4 linked regions of the Tamandua tetradactyla genome follow. The protein of the gene in region 3 purifies or fractionates together with the protein of the main gene of each other region. This does not show direct contact. Links are inferred from orthologs where the notes say so. Each region holds a gene or a part of one and is shown on either strand. Other genes may lie near its edges.

Evidence for each region.
Region 1: the proteins of AURKA (region 3) and PPP6R2 purify together in Homo sapiens (affinity purification with mass spectrometry; 4 studies listed by BioGRID and IntAct, counting the BioPlex papers as one, with this or other methods). This does not show direct contact. The link is inferred for Tamandua tetradactyla from reciprocal best matches to the Homo sapiens genes AURKA and PPP6R2.
Region 2: the proteins of AURKA (region 3) and PPP6C purify together in Homo sapiens (affinity purification with mass spectrometry; 4 studies listed by BioGRID and IntAct, with this or other methods). This does not show direct contact. The link is inferred for Tamandua tetradactyla from reciprocal best matches to the Homo sapiens genes AURKA and PPP6C.
Region 4: the proteins of AURKA (region 3) and WDR62 purify together in Homo sapiens (affinity purification with mass spectrometry; 3 studies listed by BioGRID and IntAct, counting the BioPlex papers as one, with this or other methods). This does not show direct contact. The link is inferred for Tamandua tetradactyla from reciprocal best matches to the Homo sapiens genes AURKA and WDR62.

Annotation. Positions count from the first base shown.
Region 1 is NC_135333.1:45,678,162-45,685,136, reverse strand, and holds the start of PPP6R2 (serine/threonine-protein phosphatase 6 regulatory subunit 2), read right to left. Parts: upstream 3,015-6,975; 5' UTR 2,760-3,014; intron 1-2,759. UniProt on the Homo sapiens protein: Regulatory subunit of protein phosphatase 6 (PP6). May function as a scaffolding PP6 subunit. Involved in the PP6-mediated dephosphorylation of NFKBIE opposing its degradation in response to TNF-alpha.
Region 2 is NC_135328.1:47,350,892-47,358,844, reverse strand, and holds the start of PPP6C (serine/threonine-protein phosphatase 6 catalytic subunit), read left to right. Parts: upstream 1-4,935; 5' UTR 4,936-5,166; coding exon 5,167-5,241; intron 5,242-7,953.
Region 3 is NC_135327.1:28,992,226-28,999,237, reverse strand, and holds the start of AURKA (aurora kinase A), read right to left. Parts: upstream 3,019-7,012; 5' UTR 2,928-3,018; coding exon 2,831-2,927; intron 2,825-2,830; exon of another isoform or gene 2,713-2,824; intron 1-2,712. Other genes in the region: CSTF1 (cleavage stimulation factor subunit 1), read left to right, coding at 5,754-5,922. UniProt on the Homo sapiens protein: Mitotic serine/threonine kinase that contributes to the regulation of cell cycle progression.
Region 4 is NC_135342.1:29,895,064-29,903,015, forward strand, and holds the start of WDR62 (WD repeat-containing protein 62), read right to left. Parts: upstream 3,011-7,952; 5' UTR 2,940-3,010; coding exon 2,763-2,939; intron 100-2,762; coding exon 8-99; intron 1-7. UniProt on the Homo sapiens protein: Required for cerebral cortical development. Plays a role in neuronal proliferation and migration.

The sequences.
Region 1 (6,975 bases), on a different chromosome or scaffold from region 3:
ACACCCTAAGTACATGGAACCTTGAGTAGGACATGAGATTTTGTGGGTTTATCCAGAGTGATGCCCCAATAAATCCTAGCGTGATTTGAACAGTGAATTAAAAAGTATTTGCAACGTCCCTTTTGGGGAATGGTGAGAATGGGGGAAAATTCAACTTCCCCAAGTTGAATTCTTGATATTCTCAAAGCAGTGTGGACAACCAAAGCTATAGGCCAAGCCCCCAGTCTTGGGGTTTGTTCATATGAAACTTAACCCCACAAAGGATAGGTCAAGTCTACTTAAAATTAGGCCTAAGAGTCACCCCCAAGAGAACCTCTTTTGTTGCTCAGATGTGGCCTCTCTCTCCAGCCAACACAACAAGCAAACTCACCACCCTCCCACTGTCTACGTGGGACATGACTCCCGGGGGTGTGGACCTTCCTGGCAATGTGGGACAGAAATTCTGTAATGAGCTGAGACTCAGCATGGAGGGATTGAGAAATCCTTCTTGACCAAAAGGAGGAAGAGCGAAATGAGACAAAGTGTCAATGGCTGAGAGATTCCAAATAGAGTTGAAAGGTTATTCTTATGCATTAAGTAGATATCACCTTGTTATTCAAGATGTAATGGAGAGGCTGGAGAGATCTGCCTGAAAATGTAGAGCTGTACCTCAGTAGCCATGTTTCTTGAAGATATAATGATAAAGCTTTCACAATGTGACTCTCTGATTGTGAAAACCTTGTGTCTGATGGTCCTTTTATCTACCTTGTCAATAGACGAGTAGAAGATATGGAATAAAAATAAATAATAGGAGGAACAAATGTTAAAATAAATTTAGTTTGAAATGCTAGTGACCAATGAAATGGAGGGGTAAGTGGTATGTATGTATACATTTTTTTTCTGTTTTCCTTTTATTTCTTTTTCTGAATAGATGCAAATGTTCCAAGAAATGAACATGATGAAAAAAACAAACAAACAAAAATAAATAAATAAAGCATATATCTAACCATCCAAAAATAAAAGAGTAAAATGTTACCCACACACTGAAAGAACAAAAAACCAATAGCAATTGACTGTAAGTGGGCTAAGATGTTAGAATTAGCAAAGATTTCAGTGAAGCTATTATAAATACATTCAAACAATTGTAGAAACATGTTCAGGGTCACGGTGGCTCAGCAGGCAACAATGCTCGACTGCCATGCCAGAGGACCCGGGTTCGATTCCCGGTGCCTGCCCATGCAAAAAAAAAAAAGAGAGAGAGAAAACATGTTCAGAGACTAAAGGGAAATATGATGACAATGAGTAAACAAATATAGACCCTCAACAGAGGAATATAAACTATAAAATAAAACAAAATAGAAATTCTGTAGTTGAAAAGTACAATAACGAAAATTTTAAAATTACAAGATAGACTCAACAGCAGACTTGATATGATAGAATAATTAATCTGTGTACTCAAAGATACAGCAATAACAATTACCCAGACTGAAAAACAGTTAAAAAAAAGAAAAAGAAGAAGAAAAACTTTAAGAGCCTCAGGGATCTGTGGGACAACATCAGCTATACCAACAGACATGTAATGAGGGTACTAGAAGAAAAGGGAAAGAAGACAAAGGGGCACAAAAAAAATTGTGAAGAAATGACCAAAAATTTCCCAAATGTGAAGAAAAACATGAATCTACAGAACCAAGAAGCTCCATAAGCCTGTGGTAGGGCAAACGGGAAGAGCCATGCCTGTGACATCGCAATCAAGCTGCTCTTGCCAAAGAGAGGAAGTCATAAGAGCAGCCAGAGAAAGATGACTTTCACATAGAAAGAACAATGACACATTAACAGCTGACCCAGGGGAGAAAGTGACACATTCAAAGTGCTGAAAATATATGTCAAAGAGAAAATTCTACATCCAGCAAAACTATGCTTCAAAAATCAAGGTGAAAAAAAAATAGAGATCTCAATGGAGAAAGAGAAAGTAGGGGGAAAAAAATCCCAAATAAACATTTGGAGTTGAAAAGAACAATAATTGAAAAGAAAATCTCATTAAAGGGGCTCAAAAACAGATCTGAAAGGCAGAAGAAAGAATCAGCAAACCAAAGATGAGTGAGTTTAGAATGTTTTGAAACATTCCTTTTTACTGCTGTTTATTGTTCCATTTTGTGAATCTACCACAGTTAGTTTATTCTGTGGCTGGGCTCTTTCCAGTTTGGAGTTACGATAAAACTACTATGAAGATCTCAGAAAAAGTGTTTTTGTGCAGATCCATTTCCATTTCTCCCGGCTAAATATTAGGAATTCAATTGCTAAGTCATGGGCAAGTATACGTTTAGCTTTTTAAAGACTTTTTTTCCCCAAAATCGTTGGGAAAATGCTTCTATCCCCAATGACAATGTATGAGAGTTCTATTTGCTCCATATCCTCGCCCATGGTGGGTACAGACACACCTTTTTTTCTTTCGGCAGGCTAGAATTCTGGTACTGAGCCACCATTGCACCACCTGAACACACTTTTAAGTTAGTCTGGGGATGGATAGTGGTATCTTGTTATGGTTTTAATTTGCATTTCTCTAATAATGAATGGCATTGAACACTTTCTTGTGTGCTTATAACCTGATTTCAGATGTTAAATTGTGAAAAAAAAATGTGCATCTTACAGTTCATGTAATAGAGTAACCTATATGTTATCTATAAACCCCAAATTATTTTTCATGTTTTCGCTTTTGCCAGCCTTACTGTGGCATGATTCACATCTGTTACAATATGCATATTGCAAATTTAACAACTCACCTAGATTACCAAGTGGCGTTGCTGGAAGGGTCCTTGCAAGAGGGAGGCAGAGGTGGAGCAGAAAAGACAGTGAGACGACAGGAGAGCCAGCCTGAAGTCTAGCTGTCTTTGAAGGATGAGGGAAAGGGCGACAAGCCTAGAAGGACAGGCCAGGAGCTAGGAAAGGCAAGGAACCTGCGGGAGGAACCAGCCCCGCCCACACCCCATTTCAGGGTTAGAGCCTCCAGAGCTGTGAAATAAGATACCGCATTATTTTAAGCCACTAGTTTGAGGCAATCTGTTACGTCGGCAATAGGGAACGCCTCCTCTACCCTTTCCCCCTCCTTCTCCCCCTCTCTTCCTCCTCCCCTTCCCCTCCCCCTTCTTTCCCTCCCCCCCTCCTCCATCCCCTTCTCTTCGTACTCCCTCCTCCTCCCACTCTACCTCCACCTCCATCCTCTTCTTCCCCTACCTCCTCCTCCTCCCCCCCACTCCGCCCTCCCCTCCCCGTCCGCTACCCTTATCCCGCGTAGCCTTTCTCCTCCACCCTTAGCCAAAGACTCGTCCACTCCAAGTCTAGCTCCACAGAACGGTGCTGGAGGGACGCCGGTGTGGTGGAAGGTGGAGTAAATGTCACTCTCACCATCCCGCTCCTACGGAAAGAAGCCTGCAGTGTCACGCGGAAAGAAAGGAGACAATTCAAAAGACGCGCGGGGAGAGTGCGGGAGGGCCGTGTCCTGCCCGCCCGCCCCGGGGCGCCATGGCTACGGCCTTTGCTGTAGCGCTAACCGCGGAAGAGTGGCATAGTCGTGCGGGTACCCCGCTGCCCCCCGAGGCTGCCGGTCCCTGCTAGTCCAGTGGCTCCCTCAGTGGGAAAGGTGGGCGCAAGGTGGAGGAAACAGGGGAGCCCAGGGCTTAGGCCCGTGCGGCAGAGGCTAGTCTCCCCAGCCTTGCTGAGCACCACCCTCCTCCCGCGGCTGCGTGGCCGCGCACCGCCCAGAGTACCCGGCAGGAGCCCGCAAGCGGTTCAGTTCTCCGCTCGCCCTGGCAGGTGGGCAGTGCAGGTGCGGCCCGGCGGGAGCAGGCGAGCTCTCCCCACGCAGCAGCGTCCCCAACCCTAGCCCCCCTGTAGCGGCCCGACCACCTGAGACCACGCACAGCCTGGTGCTCCTGGGAGTCCCGGCGGCGCCTTCTCAGTGCGGGTTTGGACCCCTCCGCCACTCCCGTCCCCGCCCTCCCCTGCGGCGTGACCCGGCCCGCTGCACAGTCGCGCGTCAAGGCGCCCCGGGCAACGCACCGGTCAGATGTCCAGGGCGCAGGTCATAGTTGTAGACCCAGCGGCAGGACCTACGGCTGGGGGCGGCCCATTGTTGCACCTGCCCCCAGCGTCAGGCTTGGCAGCTGTCCCTACCCCTCTCTTCTCAGAGACCGAGCCCGGGGAGCAGCGCACGCGGGCAGGTTCCCCCCCCCCGCCCCCCGCAGCCCTGCCCGTGGTCCCCACGACCCGGTCCTGCTGTGTAGGGACCCAGCAGTCAGCGATGCCAGGTTTTCAATGGTTTATAAATGTTCTGCTTCTGCACACTTTATCATCTACTCGTGATTTTCGTCATTAAATGCTTTCATGCCCTCCTTGGTTACAGCTGCTAAGGCTGAGATCACTGTTTAGTTTTGTAAACTTCTCTCTGTTCTGTTTTTGTTGTTTGGGTTTTGGTTTTGTTTTGTTTTATTTGTTTTTTGCTCGTGTAAATTGTTTTCTGTTTGTCATTGAAATGTAAGAGTGAAATATGAATACATTTCAATTTATTTCTTAATGTCAGGAATTTTGGGGAAAAAAAAACTGTAAAAGGTGGACTGGAGTTTTTTCGCTATAACTAGACATGGATGCCACAGTGAAAGCTGTAGCTTTACTTGCTGTTGCTTTGTACCTTTTCTCCCTTAAAGAACGTGGACCCTGCTTGGGTTTGAATAGAATCCTTTATTCCAGCTAAGATGCTTTCTTCTGTGTTTACCACTCTATTTTTTGATAAGCCTTTATCCTATTTTCCCTGGAATGCTGTCTTTGCTTGCAAGTGGCCTAGGCTATAGCTAGCTGACTGTGTACTTGGTTGGCTCTGGTAAAACTCAGGCACCAAAGACTTGGATTAATCTTTTCTGGGACTTGGCTGTTTAGGCACGCACTGGGGAGCAGAACACCTGTCCAGCTAGTATCCAAGTTGCTGGAAACTGCATGTCCCTTTGTCCAAGTTTGCAAATTGTAAATTAAAAACTTCAAGGACAACAACAAAAAACAATTGGCCATAATGTGAGGGTTTTGTCTGAACTTTGTATTCTATTCTATTGGTCCGTGTGCCTATTCTTATGCCAATTGTACGCTATATTGTTTCCTCTAGCTTTAAGGAAATTTTAAAAATAAGGTAGCCTAAGCCCTCCAGCTTTGTTCTTTTTTCAAATTGTTTTGGCTATCCTGGTCTTTGGAATTTCCATATAGTTTTTATTATAATCTTGTCAATTTCTACCAAAAACAAAAACAACCTCTGCTGAGATTTTGCTAAGGATTGCATTGAATCTATAGTTCAGTTCTTGGAGTATTACCATCTTAACAATATTGAGTTTCTCATCATAATCATGGTATATCTTTACATTTATTTAAGTCTTTTTGAATCAACTTAGCAATATTTTGTACTATTTATTGTATAGTACAATACAATAGGAATTTCACTTTGTGTGGGGGGTCCCTGTTTCAGTCTGCTAAAGTTGCTGGAATGCAATGGATTGGCTTTTACAAGGGGATTTATTAAGGTACAAGTTACAAGTCTAAGGCCATGGAAATGTCCAAATTAGGACATCAAGAGGATGCCTTCAATCAAGAAAGACCAGTTGTGTTCAGGTTCCTGTGCTGCAGGGGAAGGCACATGGCGACGTCTGCTGGCCCTTCTTCTTGAGTTAGTTTCAAAAATGGCTCACTCTGAATGAAAGCGAGGGGTAAGGGCTATGGTATGTATAATCTTTTTTTTTCTGTTTTTGTTTTTTTTTTTCTGAATTGATGCAAATGTTCTAAGAAATGATGAATATGCAACTATGCGATGATATTGAGAATTACTGATTATATATGTAGAATGGAATGGTCATGTTAATGTTTTTGTTTGTTGTTAATTTTTTAATTAATAAATAAATAAATTTAAAACAATACGTTTTATTTTTTAAAAAATGGCTTACTCTGCTCCTGTGGGTTCTTCTGGCTTCTGCTGGGAGTTTTCTTTCTTCAAGTATCTGTGTTTTTCTCCAACATGTCTCCCTCTTAAAGGACTCCAGGAAACAGATTAAGACTCACCTTGAATGGGCAGGGTCACATCTACATGGAAACAACTCAATCAAAAAGACCCACCCAAAATAGGTCTGCCCCACAAGATTGGGTTAAAGAACATGACTTTTCTGGGGTACCTAACAGTTTCCAACCAGCACAGTCCCCAAGACCACCCCCAGGTTCTATGATCCTCTAGGACTCACAGGATTTTGCTTATAGTTGGACTCATGGCCATGATTTATTACAGCAAAAGGACACAGAGCAAAATCAATAAAGGAAAAGGCACATGGGGTGATGTCTGGGGAACTCAAGTGCCAGCTTTCAGGGTCATCTCTGAGACTCCTCTCTGAAGGAGTCCCAAGAATGTGCTTCATTTCCCCAGCAAAGAGTTATGACAGCACATATGAAGTGCACCAACCAGGGGAGTTTATTGGAGTGGCCCAGCAGCTTTTCTTTCTATTGTGGTAAATATATGTGGTGCAAAAGTTATCATCATAACCTTTTATTTTTTGCATGGGCAGGCACCAGGAATTGAAATTGTAACCATTTTAAAGTGAACAATTCTGTGCATTTAGCATGTTCACGTGTTGTGCGTCCTTCACCACTGTCTAGATATAGAACTTTTTCATCACCCCAAATGGAAACCTCACACCCAGACATCCTCAGGCCCCCTTTCCTTGGCCCCTGGCTACCACTAACCTACTTCCTGCCTCAGAGTATTTGCCTATTCTGGGCATTTCATATAAATGGAGTCATATTACTGCCCTTTTGAGACTGGTTTCTATCACTTGGCCTAATGTTTTCAAGATCCATCTATGCTGTCACACATGTCAGTGCTGCATTCTTTTTTTGCTTGTCCATTCATCTGTTGATGGACATTTGGGTTGTTTCTAACTTTGGGCTACTATAAATAGAGCTGCTATGAATGTCATG
Region 2 (7,953 bases), on a different chromosome or scaffold from region 3:
ATTGAATTTCTCAAAGAACCAACTTTTGGGTTTTATCGATTCTTTTGATTGTTCTTTTGTTCTCCCATTTATTTATTTCTGCTTTAATCTTTGTTATTTCTCTTTCCCTATTTGCTTTGGGGTTAGTTTACTGTTCTTTTTCAAGTTCTTCCAGCTGTGCTGTTAAGTCCTCATTTTTTGCTCTTTCGTGCTTTTTAATATAGGCATTTAGGGCAATAAATTTCCCTTTCAGCATAGCCTTTACCATATCCCATAAGTTCTGACAAGTTATATTCTCATTCTCATTCATCTCCAGATAGTTGCTGATTTCTCTAGCAATTTCTTCTTTGACCCATTGGTTGTTTAAGAGTGTGTTATTTAATCTCCATATATTTGTGAATTTTCTCGTTCTTTGGTGGTTATTGAGATCCAGCGTCATCCCATTGTGATCAGAGAAAGTGCTTTGAATAATTTCAATATTTTAAATTTATAGAGACCTGTTTTGTGCCCCAGCATATGATCTATCCTAGAGAATGTTCATTGAGCACTAGAGAAGAACGTATAACCTTGTGCTTTGGGGTGCAATGACCTATATATGTCTGTTAGTTATAATTCATTTATCAAATTATTTAACTTCTCTATTTCCTTGTTGATCTTTTGTCTTGTTGTTCTATCTATAGAGCAGAGTGGTGTATTGAAGTCTCCTATATTATTGTTGAAACCTCTATCACTCCCTTCAGTTTTGTCAATGTCTGTCTCATGTACTTTGGATCTCCTTGATTGGGAGCATGAACATTTATGATTGTTATATCTTCTTGGTGAATTGGCCCTTTAATTAGTATGTAGTGTTCTTTTTTGTCTCTTATGGTGTCTTCACATTTAAAGTCCATTTTGTGTGGTATTAGTACAACTACTCCTGCTTTCTTTTGGTTACAACTTGCATGAAAAATATTTTTCCATTCTTTCCCTCTCAAACTGTTTTTTATCCTTGTGTCTAAAATGAGTCTCTTGTAAGCATAATACAGCTGGATTATGTTTCTTAATCTATTCTTTCAATCTGTATCTTTTAATTGGTAAGTGTAGTTCTTTCACGTTCAAAGTTACTACTGAAAATGTGCTTCTTTATTCCACCACCTATCTTTTTTATTTTATTTGTCAGATCTATATATTATTTTCCTTCTTTCTCTTTGTATTTAAAAAATTACTCTTAGTGGTACTCTTCAATTCTGTGCCCTTCTCCAGACCTCCCTCTCCTGTTTTTTTTTTCTTTCAACCGGCTGAACTTCTTTTAGTATTTCTTGTAGGGCCAGTCTCTTGTTGACAAATTCTTTCAGTTTCTTTGACTGTGAAAACATTAATCTCTCCCTCAATTGAAGGACAATTTGGCTGGGTATAGAATTCTTGGCTGGAAGTCTTTCTTTTTCAGGATTTTGAATATATCATACCACTGCCTTCTCACCTCCAGGGTGCTAGTTGAATAGTCTGAAGTCAGTCTTATTTGATTTCCCTTGTATGCAGTAGATTGTTTTACCATTGCTGTATTCAAGATTTTCTGCTTCTCTTCAACATTTGACTGACTGATTAGTATGTGCCTTGGGGAGGCCTAAAATTAGATTTATTCTGTTTGGAGTTCTTTGGGATTCTTTGACTTGTATATTTGTGTCCTTTATGAGGGTTGGAAAGTTTTCCCCCATTATATCCTCAACCACCCTTCCTAGCCCTTTACTCCTCTCTTCTCCTTCTGGGACACCAGTGATTCTTATATTTGTGTGCTTGTTTTGTCTATCGCTTCTCTGAGTTCCCATTCAATTATTTCCATCTTTTTTGCCTTTTGCTGTTTTGAGTCTTTGAAGTCAATTATCCTGTCCTTTATATCTACTATTCTTTCTTCTGTCTCTTCAGATCTGGTGTTGTGTGCCTCTAGTATGTTTTGCATTTGTTCAGAGTCCTTAATCTCTGTGACATCCACTATTTTTCTATTTATTCTTTCAAATTCCTCTTTATGCTCTGTCTTTTTCTACTTCTACTTCTACTGTCTTCTTGATCTCCTTTATGTCATTTGCTATTCCACTTATTTTATTAAGTAGAGTTGTATGAACATCTTTGATTAGTTTTTCCAGTGTCTTTGTCTCCTCTGGTGTTTTAATTTGGTCATTAGGTAGGGCTATATCTATCTGCATTGTGATATGTTTTATGATCTTCTGCTGTCTTCATTGCATGTAAATATCTTGATTGATTTACTTTGGGTGTTGATTTCCTTCAGTAGTCTAATGCCTTGTGTTTATGGGATTGTTGTACAGCAGGGAGCAGAGCATGGAGTGGGCACTCTGTGTGGTGATTTGTTTCAGGGAAGGTATAGGCACAGGCTGGGGATGTTATGCTGATGCTTGTGAACGTGGGTGCCCAGCAGCTGAGGAGGATATAGCTGTGAGGATGCACCAGTCTGGGGGGGCAGGAGGCGTAACCCTGGTGTGTGCTGGAAGAAGGCACGGGGCCCTTTGTACACATGTGTAGAGCTGTGGCAGTGGTTGGCGTTATGCCTTCATGGATTGGGGGCTGATATGACCTGGCTGCTCAGGTCAGCATTTTCTCAGACCTGGGAAATGTGGCTGAGGGCCATGCGCATAGGGAGTTCTAGGGCTGCTGTAAAGTGCGGTTCCCAGAGCCGAATGACATGATTGGGGGTTCGTGCGCATGCGTGGGTCTGCGAGTGCCATAAATAGATGCACAGAGCTTAGGCAGGGTGGAGTGAGGCTGTGCAACACTATGGGTGGGGGGGTCGGGGTAGCCTAGGTGTGGAGGTTAGTGCCTGCAGCCTTTATGCACTGGCAATAGCCTGCAGGGAACAGTGAGGGGGAGGCAGTGCTTGGAAGGTGTGCAAGAGAGGTGGGTTGGGCTGCACTTGGGCTGGGGGTGTGGGGCATGTATGTGCACTGGGAGCTGGTGGGGTGGGGGTGCTTGGAGTGTGGGGAATGGGAGTGGGTGACGGGGTTCGGGTGCATGGAGTGTGGGATGAGTTGCCGTTCACAGGGCTGCGCCAGTGAGGGTAGCGCACCCAAGGAATGCGGCCTGGCTTACTTCCTAGTCCCAGGCTCCTGTCCATGCACACCCATGGACTCAGTGGCTCTGCGCATCCAAGCCACGCTCCAGCTTTCTGCCTCTCAGTTCCTCGGCCTCTGCAACCAGGGCTGCTGCATGTAGTGCAGAAGGCTCTCCCAAGTCAGGAACACTTTCGAATCGCCACCTTGGTTGCCCTCCTGTCCCTTCTCTAACTTTTCCATGGATCAGGGCTAAGCTCGAGCTAGTCTATTTGGCCATTTTCCCTGAAGTCAGTACCAATCACATTTTGCAATTAAATATTTGCTAATTTACATTTTTTTTGTTTCCCCATCAGACTGTAAGCTCCCTAGTTGTCTTACATCTGTCTTATTCACATCATAGGTACTATATACCTCTTTGTTGAATAATGAAGAAATGAATGCTTGTGGGAGGCATTAACTCTGCAACAAACTTATTTTTTAAATTAATTTTATTTTGATACAATTTCAAATTTACAGAACAATTACAAGAATAGAACAAAGCACGTCCCCCAGAGACCTCATTAAAGTTTTGCCAATTGTCCCCCAAATACATGTTAGAGCAAGAGGAGAGTGTCAGCTATTATTGGATTTTCTAACAATATCCCAACAGGTCTCTCAGCTGCAACCATTTCCTCTGCCTTACCCCATACAGAACCAGAGTGATTCTTTTAGAACAATTTAGAACATATTTCAACTCCACTCAAAATTCTATAATAGCTCTCCAGTCTTGTATTTTCTAAAGACTCTGGAAGCGCTCCTGTCTTAGCACTTCCTATTGAGGACTCCACATCTGCTCTTGCTGATCAATTCCCTCAGGTATCTGTGCGGTTAATTCCCCAGCTTTTTTTTTTTTTTTTTAATACATTACCCTATCTCCTTAATCCTTTTTTTTTTTTTTTTAATAAAAATCACTTTCTAATAATATGGTTATTTTTGTTATTTTTTGGGCGCATGGTCCGGGAATCAAACCCTGATCTCCCGCATGAAAGGCGAGCATTCTACCACTGAACCATCCGTGCACATTCTATATGGTTATTTATTATGTTTAATGTTTATGTTGTCTTCCTCTGCTAGACCGTAAATCCATTTTGAGGGTAGGGAGTTTTGCTATTTTATTTGCTAACTACCCTAAACCCTTACGATCATACTTGAAACACAGCTGATGTGCAATAAACAGTTGTTAAATGAATGAATATTAAAGGCATGCAATATGCCAAGTACTGTTCTTGGCGCAAGGGATACAACGAGAAAATCTATGCCCCGTGGGACTCACATTTAAGTATGCTTAAACCAGCCAGACTTATTTTTCCATTTTGGCCCCACCGCTTATTCCCTGAGCAATTTTGGACAAGTTACTTTAAGCTCTCGGTTTCCTATGAATTAAATGTGATGAGAATTGATTTAACAGCATTTATAAAGCATTTTGCATAAGAAATGTCTGGATATTTTCCCCCTTCCTTCCGGGCAGAAAGATTGGAAGCCTGACATCTCTGCCACAGATTTGGTGGTGGTTGTTTTTGTTGTGCAGATCCATGGATTTCTAAAATTTTTATTCAATAATATATACAATCTAAGATGTAGGCAAAGTTTTCACAAGGCCTTTGAAAAGTGTAAGCAGGTTATCATAGTCTGGGGGCCCCAATTTTAAAGTGACTTCAAGGTGAAACAGAGAGTGGTGAAAAGGGTCGGAAACTGCGTTTTGCATCCGAAAAACCTCGTTGGGTTCCTCGAAGTGAAAATCCCGAAGGAGGGAAGGGAAGGAAAGGAAAAAAAAAAAGAGTAGCTGGCCGCGAAAGCACACTACAAGTCCCAGCAAGTCCCGCGACGACAACTATGGGTCCCAGCAGGTATCGTTCGCCGACCGGAGGCCCTCCTCCCTCCCCCTACCCGCCGCGGCCCCGAAGGGCCTGCAGCCCGGGTTCAGCCAAAGAGGGCGTAAGGCGCACGGAGGGAGCCAAGAGAATCGAGTCAAGCTTTAACTTTGCTGCGCAGACGCCTCTCATGGGCCGGACGTGACGTAGGAAGAGTTCCGGCTTCGGCATCCGCCGCTGCCGCCGCTACAACATCTACAGCCGCCGCCGCCGCCGCTGCGGTTTGTACTTCTAAAATGGCGCCACTAGACTTGGACAAGTATGTGGAAATAGCGCGGCTATGCAAGTACCTGCCAGAGAACGACCTAAAGGTGAGCTCGTTGAAGCGGGCGTCCTGCTTGCTGGACTCGCCTCGTCCGGCAGTAGTGGGCCCTCCGGTCCTCCTTTCCTCCCTCGGCGGGACCCTTGCTGTGGAGGGTCCAGCAGGGCGCAGAGTGAGCAGGTTCGACCTGGTGTTACGCGGGGAGCCGAGCGAGCCTGCGTCTCAGGAATGCTGTTCAGTTTTCTTCAGTGGGGATCCGCAGGGATGTCGCGGCCTCTGCCCCAGAGTTGCCCCTCCTGGCTATCGGACTCCGAGCCCTGACTGCGCTAGTTATAAGACCCCTCTCCTCCTCCTACTTCCGGGTCTCCCATAATCCAAACCAAGCCCCAGGCCTAGTGTTCTTGGGAGGGGGTCGTCTCGAACAGAATAGATTGGAGCTCCGGGTGGCCGGCGTCTGACAGGAGATGCCGCCTGCGTCCCAGAACGCGGCCCTGGTGTGTTTAGGTTTCTGAAGCATCGGAAGACGATGGCCCAAACGGTTTGGTAGTGATATGGGAGAACATCAGGTCATCCCTCTCTCCTCACCATCCTCCCGAATTGCGGGTTTGTAATGTTGGTTTGGTTGTTTTAATTCGGATGTGAATCCCCTTTCTGGGTTATATGTTGAGTTAAATTTAAGTCGATAAAGTAGTAGGCCCTCAATAAGTACACATATTTCTCTACTCTTTAAGTCGTTCCTCCCTTCTTACCTCAAGTTTCCACTTTCTTGGTTTTTAGAGGTGGTGTGTTTTTCCTTGTTGCTGCAAGCCCTATTAACAGAAATGTTTGCATGAATTGGTGTACAGCTTTTTTTTTTCTTCCTTGCGTGGGCAGGCGTCGAGACTCGAACCCGGGTCTCCTGCATGGCAGGCGAGAATTCTGCCATTGAGCCACTGTGGCTCGCCCGGTATACAGCTTTTTAAAGAAGTGTTTCTGTGTGCTTGCTAAAAGCAATGCTTAGATGTCTGCAAGTGTTTACCGTGTAGGGCAAGTGCCTGTTTTACTTCAGTAAACTTTTATATTATGTGGTGAGTGGGTAAACTGTTGACAGTTCCGCTTAGTGTTTAATCTGAGTTTAAGGTAATTTACTTTGTTCTGTGAATATTTTCTCTTAAGGAGGAGATACTTGCTTTTTTGTTTTCCTGTCTTGTCCAGGAAGTTGATACTTAACCTGCCTTAGTCAAGAAGTATTCCAAATGGTTAAGGTCACTTGTGCTGTTGTGAATGTAACTGAATGGTTACATGTTGATTATATGTGTTGTATGATAGAAAAATCTCTCTTGTGCATTTCCCCTTTTTAATAGAATAAATTAATTTAAATGAGGACAGAGAAATAGTAGTAGTAATGTAGCTTTCGTGCTCTTAGAATCCTTCAGATATTAGTTTTGTGGTTTGATTTCTTTTTTTAATATATTAGCCATGTGATTTTATTTATTTATTTAATTTTATTTTTTGTGTGGCTTCTTTCTGCTATGTACTTTTTCATGAGACAAGAACACAACCAACATTGGGACCCAATTCATGGAAATTTACCAGACCTGTTTGGTACAGTTGTTAATCCCATAGGTGAAGTTGATAATTGCATATCAATGAATTGAGATGATATTTTGTTTTCTTTTTATCTATCATATGAGAAGCTGTTTTTTTCCCCCTGGTGTGCGTTTGTGTTTGTGCACGTGTATACACATGGACATGGACCAAGAATCAAACCCAGGTCTCCCACATGGCTGGAGACCTCCGAACCTGCTTGTGTGCTCTGTGAAGTTGTTTTGAGTTTTATTTTATGAATAATAAAATGTCGCTTGTTCTTATGAAAAGGTGTCTTGATATTGAGTTGAAACTGAGTACTGAAATGATTTGAAAAATAATCAGTTGAAGTTTCTTCAGGCCTCTTAGATGGATAAACATTAGATTCCCTTTCCATTTTAAGGAAATATAGTTATTAAGTCATTTCGTTTCTGCTTAAAATACAGCTGAACTGTGGTTTTTATCTGTTTCTTAATAAACTTCTTGATCTGGAAAACTACTGAGAAAAAAGTTATTTTTCTGTTTAATTAGAGCTTTCCTTCTATGTCTTAAAACTGTTTTTATGAGGTTACTTGTGCTGCTCATCTCTGGTGTGTTTAAAGAAATTTAATTTTGTTTCTGTTCCTTGGCATGAAGTGCAAACTAAAATAAAGTAGGCCAGGAAAGTATTGCAGTGGCACCTTTTCAGAGGTTTTAAAGCCCAAATAAAAGGTTATTTCAGAGGAAGAAAAGAGACCATTGGGGCCACCTAATGACCATAGTGGAAGAAAGTTGTTTTGGTAGAAAAGAAGGTAACAGGAAGTTACCCATGTTAGTTTTTGTTTTTTAAAAAGTATTTTTATTGAGAAATCTTCACACACATGCAGTCTATACCCATGTTAATCTTAAATTGACTAGACGTTGGAGGTACTAGATCAGATAGTAAATGCATAAGATGTTTTGGATCTAATCAGGAGGTCTCTGTATTTGAGTATTTGGTTTTTTTTTTTTGCATGGGCGAGTACCAGAAATCGAACCCCTGTCTCCAGTATGGCAGGCGAGAACTCTGCCTGCTGAGCCACTGTGGCCCAGATCTCTGTTTAAATTGAAAGTGATCAGATCACTAGTTACTGGATTGAATCTACTTTCTTTGAAGGAATAAGAATGAAATATGTAAAAATGAGTGGACAAAGTATAACCTTTTTATAAAGAATTT
Region 3 (7,012 bases):
AACAGTCAATTCTCCACCCTCATTTTATGTTGCGTTCTAGGCAGCATTTGATAAGGTTGATCATTTCTTCCTGAACATCTTTCTTCACTTACCTTCCAGATTTGTCTCCTACCTCACTAGCTGTCCACTCTCACCCTCTTTTCCACTCTGAAAATGCCTGAGATAATATAGGAATGAGTCTTTGGATCCCCACCCCCACTTCTCCATCTACAACCATTTCCTAGGGACCCTCACCCAATGCCATTGCTCTGAACATCTTTATCAGGATACCTCGAATTAACCTCTTCTGGCCTAATCTCTCCTCTGACCACCAGACTCAAAAGATCCAACCACCTGCTCTGGACCCCACAGAAAGGTATGAAAGGCATCAAAATCTTAATACATCAAAAATGGAACCTCTTCTCTCCTCCAAACTTCTTTATCCACTCTCTACTCATGGGAGTGTGCTGGTCTCTTTCCCAAACCATTTCTCTTTTCCTATACTCACTCTCCAGGAGAGCTCATCTGGTCTATTGGCTGTGCATAATATCCATAGGTGGAAAATTCCCAAATTTCCATCTCCAGTCCAGATATAAATATCCTACCACTTTCGCATCTCCATCTGATTATCTAAGGGGTCGATGTTAACATGTCCCAAGGTGAACTCACGATCCTTCCCATCTCCACCTCCCCATTCTTGTTCTCAGATATCCCCTCAGAATATGACCTCTACCACCACCACCTGGTAAGACCACAGTCCTCCCTCCCTGGACTATTTGCAACTGGCTCCCAATGATTTTCCTCCTCTCATTCTGCCCCACTATTACCCATTCTCAACACTGCAGCCAGTGATCCTGTTAAGTCAGATGTCAATCCTTCATTCACAAAACTTTCATGGCTTCCCAACTCAATGAAATACAGGTTCCAACTGGTAAGGACAGACCAATGAAGTCCCACAAAATGTGAACCTTGACCATCTCTCTGACCTAGTCTCACACTCCTCCTTCCTGTCCACTGCACACCAGACACACAGTATATCTTTTCTCAAAAAGGTCCCCTGCCACAGGGCCTTTGTACTTGCTCTTTCCTCCATCAGGATCTTACCCCAAATGCATCACTTGCGCCTTCATTTCATGCTATTCTCTGTTCAAATGTCCCCTTCCAGAACCATCTCTATCTTATTTTTCTTCATAGCCCTTAGCATCATACACAAAGTATATGCATATTTATATACTGTCTGTGTCCCTCACTAGAAAGTAAATTCCACAAGAGCGAGGGCTTGCTTAGTCACATTTTACTCACCACTGTGCCCAAGAAACCTAGAACAGCACATAGTGTAGGCAATGAATGTTCTGGGAATAAATTAAAGCAAATCAATAATAAAAATAGTTTATTAAAACACTTTGTAAGCCCATACTATGAGTCAGGCACCACACTATCAAGTAGGTAAAACAAACACCAAGACAGCAGAAATCTACCAGTATTCTTCTTACCCAGGTGCTCTGTGACTACTAAAATCTAATCAGAAAGGATTTCCCCACCCTCAATGCTTCTACATCCATTTCAAAAATAAGCAAATAACTCCATAAGACAGAGCCAGGACTAAAGAACCTAGAGTCCTTAGTTGGTTGATAAAAATAAACTAAAAACAGAAGAGGAAATACATGCCTACTTTATGCACCATTATTTTCTAAACTTGCTCTATTACTTTCACTTTCCCAACAATTCCTAGTAGCAGAATACTGTGAGAGCACATAAGCCTCATAATATTTATTCAACAGTCTTCTGACCAAAGCTATCAATGTTTATCCCAATTTTTTCTTTTCATATTGAATTTATTTATAGTTTCTGTCTCAGGAAGATGAACAATAAACAGAATGGAATAAGATTTTGATTCGGAAAATCCAGGGAGGGTCCCCAGGAAAAAGCCCCTGAGGCGATTCTGATCTACAGCGATTTGGAAACTGCATAACTAAATGGCCTTTTCAAAATCCATTAAACAGAGATCCTGCAATTCTAAACAGAAAAACTGTTAGATTTAATAGCCCTGTGAGTTTAGGATAAAAAAGTTGTCCCTCCTCCCCCCACCACAGGAAACCTGCAAATATCTGCCAAGAGGCTGAGTGGAGAGGAACTGAGTGTCTTCTGAAAACATTTAGTTCAAGGAACAAGGAACCCTGAGGAGGAGACATGATTAAAAGTCAAGACTGAACGTTTGTTAGAAATTGAGGATCTCAGGTTCAACGCAGACCTAACAAACTCTGCATTTAGCAACATCCCCAGATGGCTGGTAGGTGTTGGAAGTAAATATCAGAACCACTTGGAGACCTTGTTAAACGTAGACACCTGGGTTTTATCGCCAAAATAGTCTGATTCATTCCACCTGCCGTGGGTCTGTGTTTTTAACAAGGACCCCCAAGTAATCCTGATATGGGTGAGTCCAAGGGCCAGGATTTGATAAGCACGGGCTCCGGAAGGCCTCTGCGTAGAGGTTATCATTCATTCATCCATTCATTCATTCATTCATTCATTCATCCATCCATTCATTTATCCAGCCAGGAAAGCGCCTTCCCGGACTATTCTATCTAACGTAGCCCCCTTTAAACCATACTACTGTTTTACATCCTGCATAATACTCGTCACAATTGGAAATCATGTTTAGTTTGCTGTCTCTCTCCCCGTTCCTCCAAAGTAAACTCCTAGACAGCGGAAGTTTCTCTGAGGTTTCCTTACCTAGGTGCCCACTGAATATGAGAATCCATGCAGAAAGCCTTCCCCAATGCCACCCAACAACCCCATCTGCCTCTAGCGTTAACCATAAGCAACCTTCACAGAGCCCCTCGGAACCCACGAGTAGATGGAGCACAGATGAGGCCGCAGAGGCACGTAGTCGGCAGGGAGGGAGGACCTCTCGCGCTGATTCTTTCTCTCCCGCCCCGCAGCCCCATCGCCCGCTCGGCTCTGCTCCAGCCAGATCCCACTACCCGCTCGTAGGCCGCCCGGATCAGCCGCCCCTCACCCAGGCCTCACACCCGCCACATAAACCTGACCCCACTGGTCCACGCACACGTCGGACACCGTCTCGAACCCACGGAGCCGAGTCCTACAGAGAGCTCAGCCGTTAAGAGTCAAAGGTTCTTCTTTTTAAATGCAAGTTAAACCCTCTACTCCGGACGCTGATTGGCCTAGGCTAGAAGGAAGGCTGCCTTTTGATTGGTCAACAACGAACTCGCTGTCTTGAGTCATAGGAGAAGGTAGAGACGAAGCGCAGGCGCACTTGCCTCGAAGGGCCCCGGAAGAGGGGGCCCCAACGACCCACCAAACCCGTGAACGTTCTATCGCCAGTGGTGCTCTCCGGATCGGAAATTTGCCCGTAAGAGAGCAGCCTCTAGCATCGGGGCTGTCGTACAGGAGATAAAGTCGGAGCAGGTAACCGAACCTCTTGAACGTGCCAGTAAGTCAGATGGCGAGGAGGGCCGGAGAGGGGGTGGGAGCGATGGATAGCGCGGTACTCGGCTTTATGCCCTTTGCGCGTGCGCAGTGAACTTGCGCTTCGAGCGATCGATCGGGCAAGATTCGCGCCTCCATTTTTCTGGGAGAGAGCGGGAGACCGCGAGAGCCGGATCAGCGGGTAAGGGAGCCCGGGATGCGCCGGCAGGAGCGGGTTCTGTCCGCTGGGGTCTGCAGAGGCCCACGGGAAGGACTGGGTCGAGGTGGGAATGGTCGAGAGTGAGCGGGGAGGCGTGCGCCCTGAGTCAGTGCTCCTGGGCTGCCGGGCTGGGCCTGCGCACCCCTTTGGAGGGCCTACCTCCCAGCCCCACGCCACCCCATCCTTATAAACTTCTGCGTTGGGATGGTTGCGCCGTGTGCAGAAGGGGCGTCCTGATCTCCCTTTCCTGTGTAACCGGTCCTGAGTAGGGTTATTCCTGTCCTCGGGCCTCAGTGTTCTCCCCTGCAAATTAGGGGTGGTGATTAAGAGGCTCCTACAGCCTGGCGAGTGAACATTCTAAAGGAGTTGAGAAGCGGAGTCTCGCCCTCTCTTTTACTTTCTCATTGTCCCTGTACATCTCACGATGCCCCAGACAGAAGTGAAGAGACAGGTTGGAGTGGTGGTTAAGTTCTGGACTTTGGAGTGGACCGTCCTGACGACCACGTAACCTCAGATGAGTTACCCAGGCACACTTTACCTTGAGTAGGTTTCCTAATTTCTCTGAGCCCGTTTCATCATCTCTATTGTGTCCCACTGTTCTCGGCAGATAGACTTAAGAGCATTTGCTCCTACATGCGTAGATTTGCATGCATTTATTGATTCCGTCCAATGAGCTTCACTGTAAAGTGCTTAGCACAGTGTCTGGCACGTAGGAAGTGCTCCATAAATGTTACATAAACACTCGTCAGTGTAATATGGTGCGTAAGAACTCAGGCTCAGGGACCACATTGCCTGGGTTGGAATCTAGTCTCTGACATTCACAGCTATTTAATCCTGAGTGAATTAATTAACCACTCTGGGCCTCAGTTTGCTTATTTCTAAAATAATACTGGATGAGGTGTGAATGAGTTAATGCACATAAGTTGCTTCCACAGTGTGTTTTATATACTGTGTTAAATGTCTAGTGACTATTAGCCTTTATTATTAAGTTTTTAGGGCACACTACAACCTAGTAGTTAGAAGCAACACAGACTCTAGAGTCAAACCACCTACATCCTAGTCCTGGTTCCTCCAGACACTATTAGTGAGATCTTTGGCAAAATTATATTCCCCCTTCATCTGTAAACAAGATTACAGGACCTCCATTATAGGATGGTTTGAGGATTAAATAAAGTAAAACTTGAAAAACATGGTAAAGATGTTGTAAATGCTGGCTGTTACTAGGATCAGTAATTTCAGTGGTTCTCCAGAGGGGACTATGTAGTTAGAAAACGTGCTTGATACCCCTACCTTCTCCCTTCTCCCCAGTCACTCCTGTTAATGTACAGGAATACCAGTAGGTACCACTGTTAACTCTATTGTTTGTTTTTCTTTTTAGCTTGAAGGAGAACTTAGACACTTGTGAATCAATCAGGGTGTGCAGTCCTTCCAGATTTTTACAATTTTTCCATTTTTTAGTTGTTTTGTCTGTATCTTATATGCCAATAGTATATTAAGCAGTTCACTTGAGTCATTTCAAAGCATTCAGTTTGCTTTCATTTTCATGGAAATAATAGCTTTTTGCCCTGATACTCTGGTTTAAATTATATAATTGCAATAAGCCCAGTTGTCATGAAACAGATTTTAGGAATGAATTTAAGCATGTGGCTAAGCTGGTAGAAATAGTAGTTCCTAGATATTTCAAGGGAATAGCAGCTGTCTTACCTGTTGACAACAACAGTCAGTGTTTTTATTAACAGAAGAAATAAAAGATTCTGGGATAGCCATAAAGAATAAATTTTTAGGTGGGTAACTTTGGCCGAAAAGAAAAGGGGAAGAATAAGTTGATGAAGAGAGAGTCTGCTGTAAATTTCAGCTAACATGACTTGAATACCTTCTGTGTACCAGGTACTGTGTGCAATGTTCTCTGTGTACCTTCTCGTTTAACCTTCAGTAACTTATTTAATAGCTGAAGTTTGGAGAAATGAGGACACTAACCAAAGGTAATGCAGATAGTAGAGCTAGGATTTTAGCTCCACAAGTCTGATTTACTGTGTCTGTGATTTACTAGTGCCTCTCCCCTTCACCATCTACCTCTTATCTCTTCTTGCAGCTGACAGGAAGAATTATCTTCCTCTTCTCCAAGATGTATAGAACCAAGGTGGGCCTGAAGGACCGCCAGCAACTCTACAAGCTGATCATTAGCCAGCTGCTCTATGACGGCTACATCAGCATTGCTAATGGCCTCATCAATGAAATCAAGCCTCAGTCTGTGTGCGCGCCCTCCGAGCAACTCCTGCATCTCATCAAACTAGGTACCATGTGAATATAAATGTATAGCTCTGGTGGTACAGATTTAAACTTTTCCAAGCATCACAGTTTTTCAGAATTAGTTTAGTTTAGTGCCAAGTACAATGCTGGATACTAAAGTTGGAAACAAAGTGCACATTATGAGCACTTGAAGCTGGTTCCAGCCTCAGCTTATACACATTGTCATTATCTGGAGCACTTTGTCTTTTATTATTGACTTCTTTCAAGTCTCAACTCATATGTCATCTCTGAGTACCCAACACTCCTAAAGTAATCTCTTTCTCTTCCCCATACCTCCCCAGTTTCTCTACCATAAACATCACGTCTATTTTCTTCAAAACAGAATTTTTGTTTGTTTGTTTGTTTGCATTGTTTTCCATGCAATCCCTGTTCCTCCCTGCTAGCTTACCCCATTCCCCACAGGTGAGCAGCAGTCCCTTCTTGAAGGGAAATAAGGATGGCATGTCTCCATGTTTACCAACCTTGGGACATGTAAGTCCAGGAGTGATATATTTGCAGTCACTGTGCAGAACTGTGGATAACTGCAGAGGAGTATCCATGGTATGAACTATCAGTGTTTTAAACCCTACAGAACTATGTCTTTGTATGAGAATATGATTATGACAAAAAGGAGCTTTTATTTTTTGAGGATATTTTCGGTTTATATTAAAAAGTATTTGGGGTCTGATTTGGAGGATGAGCTGTGAACGTCTGAACATGGAGGTTGGGAGATCAGTTAGATTTATGCTATAGCATTGTCAAGAAATTAAGAAATTGTGTTGTTGTTGGGTTTTTTTGTTTTGCTTTTTTGCTTTTAAAAAAGGAAACTTAATAAGTTGGTAGTTTACAGTTCTAAGACCAAGGAAATGTCCCAATTAAAGCAAGTCTATAAAAATGTCCAAACTAAGGCACCAATAAGAGGTTACCTTCACTCAAGAAAGACCAATGAAGTTCAGGGTTTCTCTCTTAGCAGAAAGGTGAAGTCTCTCAGCTTTCTCTCCTGGTTTGTTTCATGGAGCTCCCCCTGGGCATTTTCCTTCTTCATCTCCAAATGTCTCTTGCAGCATGGACTCTCAGCCTCGTGGCTCTGCTTGG
Region 4 (7,952 bases), on a different chromosome or scaffold from region 3:
TGCTCACCCTGCCAGGTAGGCCACATGGCCTGTGCTGGGGTCACAGGTTAGGCCACTGCTGCTCTGGGCCGTGATGCCAAGCACTTTCTCCAGTGATACCTGCAGAGAAAAAGGTCCAAGTCAGAAGCACCTGCCCCAGCAGTATCACAGCTGCCTCAGTCCCGTTCAGTCTCTGCTGCATTTGACACACACTCACTGAGCTTCTGCAGTCAAGCTATCAGCAGCTAATGTTTGTTCTCAACATTACTTTGAGAAATACACTGCTAGATGAAGGGTACAAGGTGGTGAAGAAGACAGACAAAAGCCCTGCTTTCCTGGAGCTCACATTCTGGTGATGGTGGGGAGGGAAAACAAAGAAAACGAACAAAACAAATATAGAGAAAATAAAGCAGGGATTGGGATTGAGAGTACAGGGGAAAGGGGAAACAGCCTCACTGAGAAGGTGACCCTGGAATAAACTTCTAAATACTTTTATATAGATTAAAGACCTGAATGCTCATAACAATCTAAGGAAGAAGGCACTATTGTCACCACAATTTTACAGATAAGGACACTAGAGGCCCAAGGTCCTACACCTGGGGAACGGCAAGGTTGGGATATAAACCCAAGTAGGTTGGCTCCAAAGACAGCACTTTGGGCCTAGTAATGGAGATACAACATTGAGCAAAAGTGGACCCTGTCCATTTTCTCATCAAACTCACAGTCTAGAATTTCAAATTTAAAAACCCTCTAAGCAAGTAGGTGAAACGGGCAAGTCCCTATTTAACTACAATCCCTACAGCGTAGGGATTAACTGGAATTGTGCTACTTTCATATTTAGATCAGTTCCTAATTATACAGAGTAAAACACTCTTAGGCAAGTCCATGGTATCAGAACTAAAAAGTTACCATAAGGTAACAAGTAATGTTAATACTGAGCATTTATCAGAAGTCAGACACTATTCAAATACCTGTAACTCTATTAATTTATCCAACGTTTAAATAAGTCTGTAACATAGTTACCATTGTCACCACCATCCTCATCTTACAGATAAGGAGAGGGATACTCGGAAGTGGTAAGTAACTTTAGCCCCAGGTTACCCATTCAAGAAAGAGCAGAACCAAGATTCTAACCAGGCAGTCCAGCACTGTCACTCATGTCATTTCACTTACCATTAAGCATTATTGGGCAGTAGTATAATTGATCATTTTTAGACAATCTTTTGCTTATCTACACTGTGCTGCCAAAAGAAAAATAAATGATGTGCTGCCCAAAATACACAATAACAATAACAGTAGTCGCTAACTGTACTAACAGAGTACTTGCAACGTGCCTGGAGTTGTTCTAAGTGCTTCAGGTATGTTAGCTCATTTAATCCTCACAAATGCCCTACAAGGCATATTAATACTTTTATCTTCATTACAGATGAGGAAACAGAGGCACAGAAAAGTTCCTAACTTGCTAGGAAGAATAGAATTAAAGCATAAGCCCAGACAGTCTAGGTCCAGAACCTGTGTTCTTTGCCACTTTGCTATATGGCCACTCTGAAAGTGCTATTGTTATTCCTCTACATTTATACATAGTTTAAGAGCTCACAAGGCACTTTCAGGAACATACAAGGAAAGGGCCATGAAGAACAGGGCGCTGGGTGAGAGACTAAGGTGGGTATCTGCTTTAGATTGGGATTCAAGAAGGCCTCTTGGAGGTAAGAATATTCAGGCTGAGACCTGAAAGATAAGGAGCTAGCTTTGGACCGCAGCAAAAAGGCCCAAACACAAGGGCTGGAAGGCAGGAGAGAGCTGAGAGCCTCAAGGAAACAGAGAACAAGTCAGTGTGACTGAACCTTGGTAAGAGGGATGCCAGGGGAGCTACAGCCAGAGAGGTGGGCAGGGGCCCACTTGCATAGGGGCTTGCAAGCAGGAATGGGCAACATGTTTGGAATATAGCAGGGAGCTACTGAGCAGGAACAAGGTCCACCAACAGTTACCATTTATCCACCCTTTATCTGATGCCATGCACTATGCCCAGCAGGTCACATTCACAATTTCTTCATATCTCCCTAAAACATAATGGTCAGGTTATTGTTTATGAAAACAGATTACACATGTTGCTTTGCTGGGGGAAATTCAACCTATTCTAAAATCGCCTCTTTTTTTCTGTACTCAAGATTTAGGAAAGTATTCTGTACTCCCCCCTCCCCACCCCCATCCCCAGCAGCTGGCACTGATGAGATTTTTAGAATATTACTAGCATCCTCTCTATAGTTTTGAGTGGCCATATGGAATTCCATCTTGGTAAGGGAAAAGGAAGAAGGCAGGGGTTGACGGACGGCTGGGGAGACCTGAGACTGAGACGGGTAGGACTCTGGGCCGAAACCCCTAAAGACCTGGCGCGGCGGGGTCAACAAAGTGGTGGAGTTCGGGAGAGAGTTTAAAGTTCAACTGGAGCTCAATCCCATAAAGCGTGATGAGAAGGTGACTTGCAGAGACAAGGTGTTCGGAGAGATGGGACTGGAAAGGAACGCCGGGAACAACCCAGAGGCTTGTGGGTGGGGCCAAGGGTTGAGAAGCGAGGCCAGGAATGATGGGCAGCGCCCGTGAGAAAAAGATACCGAAAAATGGGAGTAGCCTTTCTGAAGGGGCGGGTCTTAGTAGATGAGGCGGGGCTGGGAGAAACCTGAGGGGACCCGTCGGAGGCTGATAGGTGTGGCCAAAGAGCTGAACATTGGACCCGGGGGCCCAGGGAGCTGGGAGTGGGGTGGGAAAGGCAGATAGATCCTCACCCGGTTCTGCACCGTATCGTCGGGCGCCGCTGTGAGTCGAGTCCGCCGCCGGAGGCAGAGCGGGGCAGCCGGGGGCGGGGAGGACTGGTTCCTCCGCGCCGGAACCCCCACCATGACGGATGGCAGCTTCTCTCCCGTGTCGTTCCGCGCGTAGCCTGCGAGTCCCAAGGCCGCCATCGTCACGCCGGGGCCGGGCGACCGTTACACGCCCAACCGCCGCAGCCACGACTCACTTGAATAGCGAACCGCCGCGGGAAAGCCGGAGCCGGCGCCCATTGGACACGGCGTGCCGCGGGTTTAGCCAATCTCGGGGCTGCCGGGCGGCCCTTTCGACCAATAAGGGCTTAAAGGAGTAGCGTAGCCTCGGACAGGGTGGGGCTATTGCTACTGCCACCGCCTTCGGAAGGAAGGGGCCTTGGTTCGGGTTTACTTAATGCTCGGATTTAGCGTATTGGTGGTTTTGGACCATTCTGCCTTTTTATCATTCACTGAAATAAACAGGATTTAATTTTTGCAAGGGTAAGGCCATAACCGCCTCACCTCGCTTTTTGCTGCCTGCCTACCCACGGCGACTACCCACACCGTGACTGTCACCCGGATGTGTAATCGCAGGGTGGAGCCGAAAGAGAGTGACGAGCCAGTCGAATTGGTTGGCGCAGGCTCAGAAATGCTGTGATGCCACTGCAATAAAGAGCTGGGCAGCAAATGGCGGGCTTTGCATGTTTGTACTTTCCCCATTCACCACTTGATGAAGGCGGAGCTCGGGTAAGGCAGCATGGCGCGTCTTAGGCGGCATCTTCCGGCTGCAACACGTGAGGAGGGACCAGCGGCCGTCACGTGAGACAGGCGGAGAGGGAGCGAGCCGGGCCGGGTTCGGCGGCCCCCGCGAGGAGCAAAGTGCGACCGCTAACCTGGCTAAACTCAGTAGGGCTTGGACCGCCTTGCCCAGGTCTTGCCGGGCTCCGAACTGCTCCAGCAACCGCCCAGTGAGCTTCGCAAGTGACTGCAGGAGTGGGGCGGGGCTTGATAGGAAGCGGGGCCCTGGGAGGGGCGGAGCACCTGGTCCAGCTTGAGGCGGGTCACAAGTAGGAGTTAGCAAGGTGAAGAGTCCGTATTGCGGGCTGCAAGTAAACATCGAACTTGCAAATGTACAGATGCGTGAAACAGCAGGGGGTAGGCGATAAACTAAAGGTACTACAAGGAGACTGCTGAAAGCGGAGGGGTGGGGGTAGGGCGGCTCTGTAGGGAAAAGTGAGGTTGGTCCAGGCTTTTAGGTGCACCTGTTCAATAGCTTACCCCATCCTTCAGTTGCTCAGGCTAGAAACCTTAGAATCATCCTTACCTCTTTTTACTCACCCCTGGGAAAGTAAAAATTAGTTTGTGCTGTAAAAAAATAACAAAACAAAAAAAACTGCCCTCCGATTTATTTGGCTGGAATAACAGACGTGGGAAATGCCAGCTGCAAAGTTAATAGGAAAAAATACATTTCTCCCAGGGACATGCTGCTCCAGCCATAAAGTGACACAACTCCCCTTTGAGTGACTGCTGCTTTCTTACTGGGAAACTTTGCTCTCAAACTATCACAGACCTTGCTGTTTGCAGTTGTAGCAATAAGAATGAAACATCACTTTTTCCAGAAGAATCTAAATCACTTTGACACAGAGAAGCAACCTCGATTTACAATCCAGGTTCAGAGTGTCAGATTAGGAGCTTTGGTCACAATATTCCACATCTATCTTAACTTTATTGCTTTCAAGGAGACCTGAAAACAATAAATGTAGACCCGATGTTAATAGTTCTGCTTTGCTTCCAGCTATTCAAACACTTCTCATTTACATTTCACCTGAATTTCATCCTTCTCCCAAATCCAATAATAACTCTGGTTTGGTGAGACTCCCCACAGAACCTCTGGTGTGCATTCTTTCTCATTGCCATGATAAATAAACCTAACTTTGTGGATCAGGTTTGTCCCTGGTGAACTTAGGCTGATTGGATGAGGACACATTACTCAATCAGTTCATCAGCAAATGGCTGTCCTGTTGGCTCACCCTTTAAAATCTGTCCGGAATTTGACAGCATATAACCCCCAGTCCTGCCCCCATTTTGGTCCTGGCCATTATCACCTTCTGGATGGACTATTTTAGTAGCCTCCTCACAGTCTCCCTTTCTTCACACTTTTCCTGACATGTCTGTTCCCTGCATGCAGCCAGAGGGCGCCTGTTAACTCCTAAGTCAAATTCAATTTTTCTTCATCTCAGTTCTCTCCCCTGGCTTCCCCTCGCTCCATAAAAGACAAGAAGACAGGGCTGGAGCGGGCAGAAAGCAGCCTACAGTGCCTTACAAGAGCAGGGCATAATTGTATAATCTCATCTCCTTCCTTCGCTCACTGCTCCCAACACACTGGCCGGCTTGATATCCCTGTGGCATACCATGCACATTTCTACCCCAGGGCCTTTGCCTGCGTTGTTTCCTCTGCCTGGAAAGTTCTTCCCTTTGTGTCATCACCTCAGTGAGGCTTTCTATGACCACCACCCTATATAAGATCTAAACCTTCCCCAGACATACCCATATTCTCCCAAGCCTCCTCCAGCTTCATTTTTCCCTTTAACACTTATCACTATATCACATATTTGATGCATTCATACATGAACTCCCTCACTAGAATGTCAGTTCCATGAAGGCAGAGGCTTTTTTTTTCTGTCTTGTTCCCTATTGTGACCCCAGTGCCTAAAAACAGTGCCTGACACATAGTGGGTGCTCAGTAAACATTCGTTGGAGGAACACATTTCAGAAGGGCTCCCCAGGAAACCTAGCAGTCCGTGTCTTAGCTGTCCTTGGGGAACCCTGATGCAGGGCAAGAAAGGTACAGGGGAGGCTTTAAGCTTGCTTTTTAAAATATTTCACTCTGGCACCATTCATTCATTTGACAGCTCTTTGAGTGTCTCCTGGAGTAAGTAAACCCCTACTGGGCAGAGAGAACCCTGACAAATCTAGTTCACCTTCCGACAGAGCTCCTGGACAGGTGAGGGGTCAGACATTGCAGAACTGAATATACAAGCTGGGAGTCATCTGTGATCCTTTCTTTTCTTTAGTCCCACAGCCCCCAATCTAGCCCATTAACCCATCCTTTGATCCCACTCACAGAACACATCTCTGTCCTGCAACAACCACAACCCACCTTGGTTTACATATGCAAATGGAAAATCCTTACTACATGATTAGAGAATTATAATAATAGGAAAACTACATTCCCAATCTGATCACTTCTCATCCTATCCATTGTACTGCTTTAGCCCAGGCTACCATCATATCTTATCAAGACACTTGATAGCTCCTCACGTCTCCTACTGTCGCTCCTACCTCCTCCACAAGGGCAACAATCACAACTTACGTTGAAAGGACTTACTACATGCCAGGCACTGTTCTGAGTACTTTATATATAATAATAAGTAGACTGATAACCACTAAACACAGCTGCCAGATGACTTTATAATACCTAAGTCAGTTCATATCGTTACTGCTTAAATCTCATCAGTGGCTTCCCAGTGATTGTAGAATGAAATCTAGGCTCTTGATCTTTTTTTTTTTTTTTTACTTTTTTTTTATTGTGTAATTTAACATATATACAAAGCAAAGAAAGAAAAAAACAATAGTTTTCAAAGCACTCTTCAACAAGTAGTTACAGGACAGATCCCAGAGTTTGTCATGGGATATGATACCACGACCTCAGATTTTTCCTTCTAGCTGCTCCAGAACAATGGAGGCTAGAAGGAATAAATATTTTATCATCACAATCGCCTTTTTTTTCTTTTTCGTGAAAAATGATGTATATACAGAAAAGCAATAATTTCAAAGCACAGCACAACAATTAGTTGTAGAACAGATTTCAGAGTTTGGTGTGGGTTACAATGCTGCAATTTTAGGTTTTTACTTCTAGCTGCTCTAAGATACTGGAGACTCAAAGAAATACCAGTATTCAGCAATCATACTCATTTGTTAAACCCTACCTTCTCTGTATAACTCCACCATCACCTTTGATATTTCTAACCCACTCTTTAGGGCTATTTGGGCTATGGCCATTCTAATTTTTCATATTGGAAGGAGCTGTCAGTAATATGGAGTAGGGAGATGGGACTAGTTGATATTCTGGAGAGGCTGGCCCCTCTAGGTTTCAGGACTTATCTGGTCCAGGGACCCATCAGGCTCTTGATCTTTAACCACAAAGCCCTTCATGCTCTGGGTCCTGATACCCTCTGTAGCCTCACCTTCCTCCCATCCTATCCTCCAGCCCGTTCTCCATACAGTCCCCTTCTATAGCCATACTGGCACCAGGTTTTTCCTCACACAAGCTAACCCCATTTCCATGTCAGTATCCACCTGGGTCAATCTCACAGCAGCTACTCAGCTATGAGTTGGGTGAGGGGCAGTTAGTTTCCCAAAGGAGATTCAGGAGAGAGCATGGATAGGAAACAGGGTGAAACAGATTGGGGGGAGTGACTGCCAGAAAATAACCTGAGAGGCTGCCTGGCAGCCAAAGGAGATGTGCATTAGCTCTGCTTTAGGCCCTTTCAGGAACAAGTGACAGTCATCTCTAGTAATGAGGGGTGGAGGGCAGGGGTGCTGTTGGTTAGAAATTTTATCTGACTACCTGTCGTGGTTAGGGACATGTGTCAACTTGGCCAAGTTGTGGTACCTGCTTATCTGAGTGGGCAAGTGCTGGCCTGTCTGTTGCAATGAGGACATTTCATAGGATCACGTCAGCTGCATCCACAGCTGATTCCATTTGTAATCAGCCAAAGGGGAGTGTCTTCTACAATTAGTGATGCTAAAGCTTATCACGGGAAGTCTTTTAAGGAGGATTCAGAGGACACAGGTTCCATTCATGCTCCTGCTGGTGAGCCTCTCCTGTGGAGTTCATCCAGACCACCCATCGGAGTTGTTGGCTTCACAGCCTGCCCTGTGGATTTTGAACTCTGTGTTCCTGCGGTCACGTGAGACGCTTTTATAAATTTTATATTTGCAAGTGTTCCCTGTTGATTCTGTTTCTCTAGAGAACCCTAACTAATACACTACCTGTAACAAAATCCTGAAGTAATGATAGCATAAGTTATGGTTAAGTTGTACTGCCATAGCAAAGTGACCCCATATCTCAGTGGCTTACAACAAAAGTTCATTTCTCGCTCAACCTGT